Drosophila melanogaster: one gene and its partner. The protein of the gene in region 2 interacts with the protein of the main gene of each other region in a pairwise test. Each region holds a gene or a part of one and is shown on either strand. Other genes may lie near its edges.

Region 1 (5,199 bases), on a different chromosome or scaffold from region 2:
CTGACACACTTTATTGTGATGGCCCTGCTCCTCAGTGAGAAGTTCGAAGTGGACATCAATGTCCTCTCCCGTGCTTTGGCCACCACCAAGGCTCGGATCAAGCAGTACGCCCACATTGTGAACGCTCTGCCAAAATCCAATTCGGACATCCTTAGCCTGCGCCTGCCCAGCAAGGTTCCGGCTCTAAAGTCGGGCCGTCGCTTCCAGCGCAAGAAGTAGGAGTATCTTCAAGGACACCGCGCCCGCCATCGATTTAACAAACCCTGGCGCGCCAATTACATTTATTGCATCCAGGTACTTCTGATTTTGTTATTTTGGGCAATGCCAGAAGGAATATTATTATTCTAAACGATAGAAGGTTTTGATAAACTAAAATAAATAAAGAAATAAGAGAAAGACCATTAAAGTTTAATTTTAACAAATGCCTGGGAATTTAAATCGATTTTAGACCAATGGCCAATTGCTGCCATGGAAACGAAAAATATTCCCACGACCCAAAAAATGATGACCCATTGAAAACAGTTTGCAATGATTAACTTATTATGCTACGGTATTATACACTTTTTATTTACGTTTTTAGATTGAAAATCAAGAATAACATTAGGCGAGTACACTGGCAACGGAATAGTTGCTTGCTAATTGCTTGGAAGTGACGACAAGGTTTTCAAGTGCTCCATAATAAATTTTGTTATTACAGCAGGATGGATGGCCGATCAAAAAAGTATGGTATTTGTGTTGTTGGTGTGTGCTGGTGTACGACGGCAATCTTGTTAGTCCCTCCCCCTTTTAAGTCATCTTCATCGCGAATTCCGGCAGTCCTGCCATTCCTCCACTCTAGACGGCCAGTCCGAAGACCGAAACGATGCAGTACATGGTCTTGTTCTCCCAGCGTACTGTGCACGATCCGTCGGTGTCGTTGTTCCAGTAGCAGGAGCTGGCGGTGTGGAGTCCAGCACCGTTCTTTTGCATGATCATGGCGGTCACAATGTACTTGTAGGGCTTCTGCTCCTTGGTGAGCACCGTCAGGCAGTTCTCCACCACCTGGCCGGTCCAGTTGTTCACCTTGTCGTGCTGGTAGGCGTTACCGCCGATGGTCGTCTCGATGGCCTCTTTAATCGTCTTGCTCACGTCGTCCACAATGAACTGGCTTTCTTCGCGTGAGTCATCCATCGTCGCAGCTTTGATTTGCTTCTAACGGCAGCTGGTCAAAAAAGTTTACGTACTGAGCTCAAGTTTGTATTGTTGTCGTTGTAAATGTGCGCGCGTTTTTGGGCTCGTCGGCGGCGTTCGAGCAGTCCAAATAATATATATCGGGATTCTATTTTTCTAAGGGATGCGGAAAGCAAAGTTTGCTTTTAATTTGGAAGTATTTTCTTGGGCACCTTGATCTGGTCAGACTGTGTTGCAATTTAACCGGAGAAACGGTTACATCGTGGGTCATTTCAGCATCTTCACACTAGAGATTTCAAGAGAAGAAACAGTTGTCTTTTATTAAAAACAAAGGTTTCGCTATCAACATTTTCCAAAGCAATTAGTCAAGGAGAGTATAATTAGATTAAGTACTTTCAAAAGGAACCAAACAAGTTAAAACCTATTATAACCATGATGCCAGTGGAAACACATCTAAGCATTTAAATTAATCGATAGAAAACAGTGCTGAAAACCGCGGGAAAATTAAACTTTTAATCGCTGGATTATTTCGACTGCAAGCCACGGTCACTCTGGCAGAATCAACATAACGGACGCGTTCGCGGCGCAATAAAAACGAAAAATAATTAAATTATTCCATAACTCTTCTGCGACACCATTGAAAAACATCGACGCATATCAAGGCCGACAAATATCGCTATTAAATGCACAGCTGAAAGCGATTCGTGCAGCACGTCGTTGAATTGAATTAAATTCGTTATGGGAAAGTGCCTTGGTGTGTGTGTGCGTGCGTATAATTAAGCAAAAGTATTTAGCAAATCGAAGGCGCACATTTCGCAATACACGCTGCGAAATAATCGGGTGATAATTGTCGCAGCTGCAGGCGCACTTCCTTCTCCATCTCCTGCTTTCTTCGTTTTTGTCTCTGCGGATACGTGCTACTACTTTTGCAGCTGCTGTTCAGCTATTTAGCGCGTGTGTGTGAGTGCGCTCCGCGGCTGCTGCTGTTGTTGTTTTTGTTGGCTCACCTCTCGTTAACCACCTTGAATGCGAGTGAACGAGCGAGAGGGGGTGAGAAGAGTGCAAAGTTGATGCCCGCGAGTGTGCGCTTGTCTCTCTGTGTGTGTATGACAACAAATTGAGTGCGACTGTGTGCGTGCGGCATTAGTCACTCTCTTTAACTTTTAACTGTTTTGGTCCACCCTCTGCGAACCAAAAAGGCAAAGACAAAAAAAAACCACTAAACCAACTTTGCGGATCGGTTTTTTTTTTTTGAATCGAAACGAATCGGATCGGAACGAATCGGAAATCACCAAAAGGTTAGTTACCCGCAATTGATATTTAACCACAACATCACCCTGACAACTGCTTGCTTTTGCAAACATACATACATATGTAACATCACTCCACCATTCTCATCAAAGTTTTGCTCAAGCTACTTACTTAATTGAAATTCCAGTCAAGGTCGCATTTGTTAATTAATTAAATGTTTGCCCGGCTGACTGCAAGTATAAGGCAAAAGGGGAAACTTGGCGACTGCACAATAGTTATTGTACAATTCAAAAAGTATTGCATAAACCGATATGCTACGTTTGTTCCGACTGTTTACTCAAGCCTCAAGCGATAAGCGGGGAGTACAGTGACATTTATGGATGGGATGGGAAACCCATTTTCTGTTTTGACTGCATAATCGCCAGCACACGAAAAACACTGTCATTGCATTTAACGAATAACTGGAATTATTAGAGAACAGCTGCCTACATAAATACCGCTTCAAATGGTCACCATTGGTCACTAAATACACTTTTTTTACGAGTCATACATTTGCAGTTTTTCTCTCTGTGTAACTCTGCACGAAGCTTCTTCTTTACCCATTAATAAAATAGAAAACCGAAGGAGTTTCGTTTTCGTTTTGTCACTTTCGGACGCAGCAGGTGGTGCATTTGCGCGCTTACCTCACTTTCCAGCTGACTGACTTTCGGGCGATCCTCACATGGTAGCCATAACCATATAACATATGCTATTCCAGCACCCTTTTTCTCTACGCCAGTGCCCAGTGATAAAAACCCTTCGCAGAGCAATCTTCATATGACAAAAACAGGAAATGTATATCACGCAATGTATATATACATATATATATATATATATTACACAATCTTTTAGAGAAGTGCAATCTTATGAAATGCCAAGCAATAAAGCGGTTTAATATGCTTACTTAAATCGTATACACCGTTTCGTTATGATAACGGCAGATGATATCAAAAAGTATCAGAATATTAAATATTATTATACGCCCAAGGGTATCATTTATACGACTGAATCTGATGCTACACGCAAATGGCACAAAAGATCCTCTTTATAGGCTTTTCAAAGTGCATTGTTTTTTAACTACTGAAATGGGCGGCAAGTGTTTTGCTTTTGCACTCAGTACTCGGATACACATTGGAGTGCACAGAAATGTGGGCGTGTTCGAAAGTACTGATGTAAGCTTTCAGCTCTGATTGTGTTCAACTTTGACCCACATTCGCCAAGTGTCCCGCCATGAAACGCACGAGTGGATTGCAGGGGTAGGAGATGGAGGAGCATTCAGTGATGAATTTCATCTGCTGCTCCCCATATATTTTACATGCAAACGTGCAATTTTCAGACCGCATTGTTTGTCTAGAATTTGTGGGTTTAGCACAAAACTACATTGTATATGCAGTATGTCTATCAATAGTTGTGTGTATGTAAATACGCTTTTAGAACGAACTGCACGAGCTGGAATGGAACGGCAGGGAGAACAAAAAGTACAGAAAAATACATACATACATAATACGTACGTATGTATACGATGAACAGGAAAACGTGCTGACAATGTAGAATGGTTATTTCACCTATTTCATACTTATTCATTCCGCTTTTGCATAGCAAATAAAAATTAGTAGGAAGACTTGTGAAGACTATGCAAAATCTTGGGTTAAGTAAGTAAAACCCGTTTTTGCATTTGGGCTTTTGCCTGTTCTTCGCCTTTTCCGGTCTCCCCTATAAGAATTTTAGATTTTTTTTTTCTGTTAAGACTGCTGCTGCTTAGAGCGCCAAATTTGCCGATCAAATATTTGCTAGCGTGTATCTGCGTAAAGATTGTTGTCGCACCAGATTCAAGCTGTATCCACAAGCGCTCATTAATCTTTAACCCCTCGATGATAAAGAGCTCTTTCGACGAACGAGACTGCCTTTTAAAGATCGCCAGAGCTCAATAAACCTTAACCTCAAAGAATTGAACAAAGCATGGCTCTGTTTTCCCATCATTGCCCATCTTTATCGCACTTGATGTAAATTGAATGATTTCGGCTTCGTTGTTCTCTCCGTAATTTGCTTAATTGCATGAACGCATTGCGGGCACGTTCTTTTCGATTCTGATTCTGCCATATTGGGCAGGTTTTGAGGCGCTTGAAAAACAACTACTGACACCAGCGAAGGAAGCCAAAAGTTGGGCGTGTTTTTATAACCGTTAATCGTAGAGTAGGGCAAAGCTAGCCGAGTACAAAAAATCTTTTTTTGAACTCCGGAAGCTTGGACCACGCATCGTGGCTTTTTGCCACGTCACTCTAACGCCCTAAAGCCGTTAAAGCGGTCACGCCCACACTTTTGAAAATTGTTAAAATATTTTCTCATTTTGTTACCCAACATCATCGATATCCCAGAAAAATGATGAAATTTTGCATTCACACTAGCTGAGTAACGGGTATCTGATAGTCGAGGAAATCGACTTGATCATTCTCTCTTGTTTCAGTTAAGTTCATTTAACTTGCAATGTATGGCATTAAATTCAATTGACTTCGACGTTACGACGAGCATTGCCTTCGTTTTATTTTGTTCATCTGATGGGGGAGCTTTTATTGCCGCTGCTCCCATTTGCTATTTTTACGCTACACCTCAAGAAATGAGTGTTATTTAATATTTATTTCACTTGATGTATATTTGCTTTAGAAACACTTCTTTTTTTTACAATTCTTTTATCGTGTAAACTGAATCAAGCGACATTACAAATTACTCATGACATTTTAT
Region 2 (8,553 bases):
TCTTTTCCCAGGACTTCTGGCAAATTGCCTAAAACTTTCTTTATATTTGATGTAATGAATTCCAGCGAAAAAGAGAGGCAGCTAGATTTGCGATTGCCAGAAAGAGTGGACCAGAAAAAGTAGCAAGGACGAAAATGTGATGGAAAGCAGAAAAAACACAACGGCGGCCAAAACAGAGTGTTGCATACATTGCGTATGCGTAATGTGTTACAGATACTCCACATACGCCACGATGTCTGGGCGTGTGTGCGAGTTCCGTTTCCGCAATTAAAATGTTGATTACATGAAGTACGACTGCCGCTTGTTTGTTTCCCTTGTGCCACGCCCCCATTTTACCCATCCGATGCTGTGGGAGCCACAAAGGAAAACGGAAATTATGTGTAGATGCGGGCGTTGGCGCTTAGCTGAGCTTTTCATTCGGCATTAACAACGCAGTGGTAAAATGGCAGCGGTGAAGGCAGCCACAATAAGCAGCGACCATAAATTGCAAACATTTGGCTTTTTTGCGATAAGCAATCCGTTGGCAAAAGGAAGGGGGAGCAGCGAGTTTAATGACCTACCTAGATTACTAAAGCCCAGATAAGCGATAAGTGGGAATACACTACAGTCAAAACATGGAATGTCTTAAAATACCAAAAAGTGCCCTTACACGAAGCCTTCAATTAGGAAGTTTTATTATTGAATTTAATGCTGGAGACTGCTCGCGAGACAACACATAATTGAATAATTTAGTTTGTTTCGATTTATTAGCTTGATTGCTCTTGATTCAAAATTAGTGAATAAAGAACGAATTTTATTTCTATAATATATTGTAGGTAAGAACAGAAGTCTGAATGCAGCATGTTTACTCTTCTCAACATAAAAAAAGAAGACTGCTGCTATGGCTGAAAATAGCACGCTTTACACCGTAATTAAATCAATCATACGACCTGTTGGTAAAGAGGCCAAGACAGAAACAGAAGTGAAAGGAGCAGCCGAAAAAAAAGCGGGGAGGCAACTGGCGTGACGAAGGTAACGCCCCCGAATACACCTGGAGAAATTCCCGCCCCAGAGCCCCCTGCCCGGCCAACGAACACCTTGCTTAGCATAAATGAATATTTATAATTCAAACGCCTTTTGCCCATACTTTTTCCTTCTGTATGCAAAACAGCGGCGGCGACTGAAGATCCGCAAAGTGCTTTTTTCGAAGACTGGAATACGAAAGAGGGAGACAGGGTGTAAGAGTGTAAGGGGGAGAGAAAAGAATAATTTTTTATGAATATTTATTTGTTTTTACAAAATCGAAGTTATGCATTTGCTGCTCGCTCTTTTCTTTTGCTGGAAATAATGCTCTGTTGGACACGTACCCTGCCCCGAAGTGGCATCAAAGTTTTCCCAGCTTCGACTGCTGAAAGGTGCGTAAGACAATTTAATTTATTTGATGCATTAAAGCAGAAATATTAACGCTATAAATCAATGAGTACAAAAGTTTTTCCCCTCCTTTTTTTCTCGTTCTCTTGCTGTTCTTGTTTAAGTGTATTTCGTATTAATTTATGAGTGTGCCCTTAACCCTACCCCCAACCCCATATTCACTCCCTTTGGGCCAGGCCGAAAACATTTCTTTTGCGCGAATTTTTTATGACAGCTGCGCGTAAAGTTATCACACGTAAATTCAGCTTGGTGGAGAGAGCCTACTTTAAAGGCCATCAATGGGTAACAATACAATACGACAGTTTCGTATTGATAAATACCTTTAAGGTAAGATATACAGTTCAGCTAATAAGAAGAACTGAATTTTAATTGGCTCTCTTTGGGTTTACTTCAAATCAAGAATCTCCCCTCTTGACTCGTTTCATTTACGATTTCACTCGAAATCCAATCTACACGCTCTTGTTGAGAAAAGATGAGAACATAAAATCTAGCAATATGAAATATTAGCAAATAACTTAAAGTGCATTTAGAGACTTCTATATTTCTCTTAGTGCTTTTATTGGTTGGAGGATTTGCTATGCAGGCCACAAATGTTTCTGACTGGGAATGGAATCTCCTTTAGGGCTACCTAAGCTAGACTGAACCATTAGCTAAGCACACAGAGAGGAGAGCTAAATACTCCTTCTAGCCCCTTAACCCTCTCGTAGCGTTGTCCCATTTGAAAGCCACATAAGCTTAAAAATTTCAAGTGCTGCACCGATTTCAACCCGGCACAGAAATGAAGTGAAATGCCACTGTCCCGGAGAGAGTTTCCAGTTGGAATAGAAGCTGTAGTACCAGGCAAATGCAGACAAAAAAATATCTAGTTACTAAAGGAGTTAAACTTGAGTTTGTGTATATGGTATTACTTTTAGTTTTCATAGTATTCATACATTAAATTAAAGTAATGCAGTGGTAGTCAAAATCCATCACGCGTTACTCAATGTAGGGAAGGTTAAGTAGGAGGAAAAATGTATTTAACATTTTAAAGTTATAGGGATTGCTGTAAATGTCCTTGCGTCATATTAATAAAACTGCACCACAGTAGCTACTTCGAACTCCATACTATACTTGTGTTCAAAAACTCTGTGCCGTCAACCAGTACTGGTTGTATTCGCTCTAACTAACCTAGTATAACTTTTTACTGTACGACAAACGCGTATAAAAGTACTTGAAATAAATAGAAAACTGATAAATTTAAACTTGTTTCTTATATGCAACTTTTCTAAGTGTTTTAAGGTCAACATTTGCATGTGGAAGGGCGGAAGGGCAGGAAACTCAAAGGAAGGAAGCTCGTCGGAAAACCAGGGTTAAACCTTTAAAAGGTCTACAGTTTGTAATGTTCTTAACGCACTTTTAAATTTGTCATGCAAAACGAAACTTTAACTCGATTAATGCGCAAAAAGTTCAATTATTTGCATTATTTTTCATTTTCAATTTGAATTCCATTTTTGCTCATTGTCATTGCTGGTGGGCAAACAAAAGTCGCTCATTTAACCCGAATCCCCTCGTTCAGTTGTGTGCATCGCATAGATAAAGTCATATATCAGGGATAATTTTAAAAACCCTTTCGCACCACCCCCCTCCCCCTGCTCTGACGTCATCAGTTGGAGTTTGGCTTTCTGGTCTGTTGGTTCATTAAATATTGTGATAATTTTTCATATTTATTTTTAAGTGGTTTACAGTGACAGTGAAATTTACATTTTATTTCATTAAGCAAAGCGCCATTTATATTTGATTCTCGGGCCAACTCTCATTTGAGCTTATACATTCGCATTTATTTATTTGCATATACAATTTTATTTGTCCTTCGTTTAATGGCGTTTAATTGAGCACCAGAAAACAATGTGCAAATTAATTGCATTGCCTCGCTAGCCTTGAAATTTGGTTAAGTCAATAGTGCGTGGGAACAACGACACGAGGTTACGAGCTTGAAATAAATTTTCATTCCGAAATTAATAATGTTCTCAGCATTTATTGTATTTATATATTTCGATAGCTTATTAAAATTCTATCAATTATAAACTGAAGTATTATTAGTAATTATTCGAAAAAACATGATTTGTATAAGTAGCCCTGAAACTAAAATAGCTAACAGCATTTCGTATACTAGGAAAATCCCCGTAAGGTTCGCAATAATTGTGGCAGACTGTATGCGGTGTTGGCTAAATGTTATGCTATTGTAAGCCATAAATGTTTCAGCACATTTCCCTATGTATGCCATACCACACATTCTAATAATTTATAGGAAAGTTTCGATGTTAAAAACACGCCACTGTTATCTGAAACAATTGGAAATGGTACAAACAAGCATAAGGAGAGAGCAGGAGAGCAAAACGAGCTTTTTCTCTTGCGCTTTGCTACGTCGAAGGACATTCCCCCAAGAAGCTTCCAGTGCTGGCCAAGTGAGGGCGCCACCCGCGTGTTAGGCACTGTGAGCATGAGTTTTTTTTAGTCGCTATTTCAACTTTGAAGTGAACGCACGTCATTTTTGTCGCGCGCGTTGTTACAATCCCCTCTTTGTGAAGGAGCCAAACGAAACCCGAAACTGAAAACTGAGCCAATCGAATAACACGCACACTTTCAAATTTTGTGCATGTGCGTGTGCGAGAGCGAGCGGTCACTAAAAGTAATAACGTGTTTACAAAAAAGTAGGAATGCCCCGTAATACTCTCAAATAAAAACGAAAGAGTGCAAGTGTGGCGGCAATAATAACAAAAACGTATTCAATGAAAATGTGAGCAAGTGCAGGTCGTGGAAATGAAAAATCTTTGAGCCCCCGCTCGAAATGCCGCATTTGTTGCGTGCCGAAAACATTTGTCAGGCATTTGTTGTTATTGCTGGGAAAACTGAGAAAACTGTTGCGGTTGCGGTTAATTAAAACGCGAAAAGTGGAACACAAGGAGTAATCATCTGGCGACCCCAAAACTAACAAAAATTAAAAATAGTCGAGCCAACCGAAAAAGTGGAGAAACCAAAAACTGAACCTTGTAAGAGCGAGGCCTTAGCTTTTTCATCGTCAGTTTTTGTAGTTGGTTTGCCATTCCTTTAAATAAAAAAGTAAACAGTTTGGTTTTATGGTATTAAGTGAGCATTTTTTTTTTTAGAAATATTATGATAGATGTATGAAGGAAGGTTACATTCCCAAACAACTTTTGTATATAAAAAAAAACGTTCTAGCAAAACATTATTTTTGTAACAATAGCTAAAAACTGAAAAATGTAGTATACAAAGTAATTAAGTTGAATGACTGACATGATCTGATTTGTTTTGCATTCCAGCATACAGTCTATGTAATTATTAAAGCGGTATCCTTAAAGACGTAAGACCGAAACACGGCGGCTTTATTTTCCTGATTCGGGCCAAGAACTTCAACTTAAAAACTCGACACCATAAATTTCACATTCAGCCAGAGAGCATTTTAATCTTTAATTATATTTTGTATTTTTTTTTTTCACTTTTTGCCGCTATTGCCATCTCCCTTGTTTAGCTTCTACTTCAATTTAGGCTAATTATGTTGCTTGGGCGTGTTGGAATAGATATAGTGTCCTGTATATAAGGCGGGGTCCTGACCATTTATTCAGTACTGCCTGCTTTTGGGCGTCCCACTTTCCAGAGTTGTTGGTTCTGTGGGTGTACGCGATTTTATTGTTGCTGTAATTTAAACAACAGCTGCTGATGTTGTTGCTTTATTATCTGCACCTGACTTGTTGGCTATTTATTTGTGTTTATCCAGCCATTGTTGGCTTTAAACAAAGTGAAATGCCAAAAAAAGGGAATTAATCGGAAAAAATTGAATATTATTGCTATCTGTCGTGGAATGACAGTATATTTATAAATATTTGTTAATTGTTCGTGCTGTCACTGGATTTGCAAATGCCCATAAATCATTTCCAGCATTCGTGTAATGTGGGCGTGTGTAATTTCTAAAAGTACGTGTTTTATTGACTTTTAATGAGAAATACCAAATGGATCGAGAAGTTAAAAAATATATTTTCATAGTTTATTTTGTTGAAAGGGAACTTTACAAAGACTTCAAACGTCATTTAAAATGTTTCTAATCTCATGTTTTTAATTTCATAGATGCATGTTGAAATGTTTTTCATTATTGCACTGATCACAATTCAAATCTGGTTGCCCGCATGTTATTGAACCTTAATTGCTGTCATAAATAAAATAACAATTTGGAAACGAATAACCCTATTACCAATAAATTTCGATTTAACGTATGTTTGAGATGAGGCCATAATTTTGCCAATCTTGACATATGAGTTGTTCCCAGTGGCTCGACCCCAATCCGCAACCAAATTCCTGGTATTTCATTTAATAAACAGCGCCTAACTAGCTTATGATAATTGCACAGCTAGCTGCGCGTGCTTAGTTTGGATTATAAATAAGTATCGTGGTTAGGCACTTGAAGGATTGTGGCTTACTAAAATTAAAGCAATTGGCATATTGTATGTCACCGTTTAAATGAAAAAAAAAGGCGACCTTTTAGTGAATTTCCAACGCCGCTTTTGCTGTTAGTCACCATCTTCAATTGCCTGGCAAGCGTTTTCCTGACGCTCTAAATCAACCAAAGGGTTAAGGAGCGAGCGGCAACTGGATTTTGAATTTATGTGGCAAGGTCTTTCCTTCGTTTTCCGCTTTTCCACGCTTTTTCCGCCGCAGAACCGAGAAAAGGCTGCTGTGTAATTAATCTTTTCCCAAAATGCTTGAAAATTTATGTCTTTAACTTGACTGCAGTGCCGCTCTATATGATGGAAGCAGCAAAATGGGGCGGGGAGCCTCAGGTCCTTTAATAGTTTTTGCCTTTAACTTGCCCGTTGTTTTTGTTCGCGTCGCGATTAAAAGTGATTAATAGCCAACATTTTATTACCGCACAGAGGCAGCAGTATAGGGGGTGCCCCAAAACAACAACTTAATGTCCAAATGAAATAAGTGAAAATTTCACACCGAAATTAATAAAGACATTAGTGCGTGTGGGCGTGGCTCATTTGGGGCATTTAACGGAAGCCAAGATGTGTGCGGAGGATCCATTCACCCAGCACCAGCTGCCGCACCACCATAAAACCGAGCACCACCAATGCCACCAACAGCTGCGAATGAATATGGAGCAACAGGACGGAACTCCAGGAGCGAGAAAATCGGCCACAGCAAGGACGGCGGCTACGAGTTTGCAGATCTGGTATATCCTACATGTGATACTAGTCCTAATCGGTGAGTTATAAATCTCCCTCCCTATATGTATGCATATACAAAAGGTTCTTTTGGGCACCATTTAAAATGGGTCATAATTAATGCCAGGCCGGGGATGTGGGCATCTTTTTTGCATTTATCTAAAAATTCTGGGGGATTTATCTAAGCACAAATGGCAAAAGTGTTCCTTAGTCGGCATTAATTTATAGATGGGATCTAATTAAACAAGTGTACCCCTGAGTTCCAGTAAAGGGATTTCTTCTGCTTGCCAGCAGGGAAAGTATTTAATATTGCAATTTTACGGGTAAGTTCTGGTCACACATTTTTTTGTCAAATCTAATTAAAAGCTAATTTAAGTAATCAAAAAAACTCTTTTACCAAACAAAGAAATTAACAAAGAAATTTTCTCTTTATTCCATTTACTTCTCAAGAACTTTCAAGTGAAGTAACAAATATCTTAAATGTTTCCCCAGCATTTCTCAGAAAATCTGACGCCAAACAAGAAGTTTACGCATTTCATACTCAAACATTTTTACAGAATTCTTTGTGTGGACGGAAATCCAGCTCCCTCAAAACAAATTCCTGGGAAAATCCCAAGAAAAACAATCAACAAATTGAAAGCCAAAGACCAAAACAATCGAACAAGTCCATTGGCGAAAGACAAAAGCGGCGACAATAACAAATTGGAGCACGCAGACGGAATAGAAATTAATAAATTTGCCAAGAAGTCCCCACTCAGGATTACTTGTTTGTTATTAGAGGGGACCTCGGAATTCTATTATTTTTACTCTACAAACATAATATTTACAATCCAGAGCTAGGTATTTGTAATTTGAAAAAATGCTTGCCTTAAAAATATTTGTTAAATAAATTGCATCATATTTGTCAGTACTATTTCTAGGATGAAATATTTATATTATGAAATATATACAGCCATACACATGTTTTGAAGAGTAATATTTCTTGTATATATTTTTTATCTTTATTACTTTCAATCATCTGTGGCGCTGCTTTTGTCGCATTTTTCGAGTTCAAGCCAGTTAAGTTGACATTTCCGGCAGGGCAGAAACGTGATGGGGTTTCTAATAGGGGTGGCGTAAAAGTAGAGGGGCGAAAAAGTGAGTGGAAAGACTGTAACTGTCTTTTCATTATTTTCAAATCATATCACAAAGGGCAGAGCACAAAGATGGGAATGCTGAGCAGCGGAAACGGATATGGAGCCAAGTGAATGCTTGCACACCAGCGGGGATCCTTGCAGGTCCTGCGGCTCTCCCTATATCCGCCTCTTTCCCTATCCTGGCTCTCTGCCTTCCCCTGTGTGGGTGCGTTGGCTTAATTCAATGTCTCATTTGCATACATTAAAATGTCACATTTTACATGTCGTTTGAGCGTCTCGCCTTAAGCCTAACAGCAGTAACAGCATCCGCAGCAGAAGCCAACGTCAGTTAGCGTTAAGGATACTCCCTGGGAGCCTAAGAGCCATCCTGGCATCGGGAAATCCAAAGGCGCCACCCACCGCCCACTCCTACACATAAACTACATTAGCAATCGGAGCAGCCGAAGGCAGCCATGTAAAAATGGCTTAACGCGCAAATCTTTCAACTAAACATTAATCCTAATGGTTTTCAATTTTGTTGCGCCTTCTGTGGCAAGTCAAGTTCGCGTCTCCTTATTTGCCAGTCTGTTTTTTCTTTTCATTTTTTTTTTTTTTTTGTTTTGTATTTTACTCAACCCATACCTACTACTTTTCATTTTTGGCGCTCTGACTTCGACTCTGGTTGTGGGTCCTGCTTTGCATGTTAATACGCTCTTTGATATTGCCGAGCAGCGCCTGCAGCCTGATTGCTTCTGACAGCGTCCCCCGAAAACGCCCACCACCCCCAGGCTAACTGTAAATATGAAATT

Evidence for each region. Proteins that work in one complex are often made in the same cells at the same time.
Region 1: the proteins of beat-IIIa (region 2) and Dlc90F interact in a two-hybrid assay, tested with the Drosophila melanogaster proteins (one large-scale study listed by BioGRID).

Annotation. Positions count from the first base shown.
Region 1 is NT_033777.3:18,295,393-18,300,591, reverse strand, and holds Dlc90F (dynein light chain 90F), read right to left. Parts: upstream 1,364-5,199; 5' UTR 1,171-1,363; coding exon 835-1,170; 3' UTR 548-834; downstream 1-547. Other genes in the region: Polr1E (RNA polymerase I subunit E), read left to right, coding at 1-219. UniProt on the Drosophila melanogaster protein: Acts as one of several non-catalytic accessory components of the cytoplasmic dynein complex that are thought to be involved in linking dynein to cargos and to adapter proteins that regulate dynein function.
Region 2 is NT_033779.5:17,127,148-17,135,700, forward strand, and holds the start of beat-IIIa (beaten path IIIa), read left to right. Parts: upstream 1-3,876; 5' UTR 3,877-4,477; intron 4,478-6,335; 5' UTR 6,336-6,470; coding exon 6,471-6,669; intron 6,670-8,553.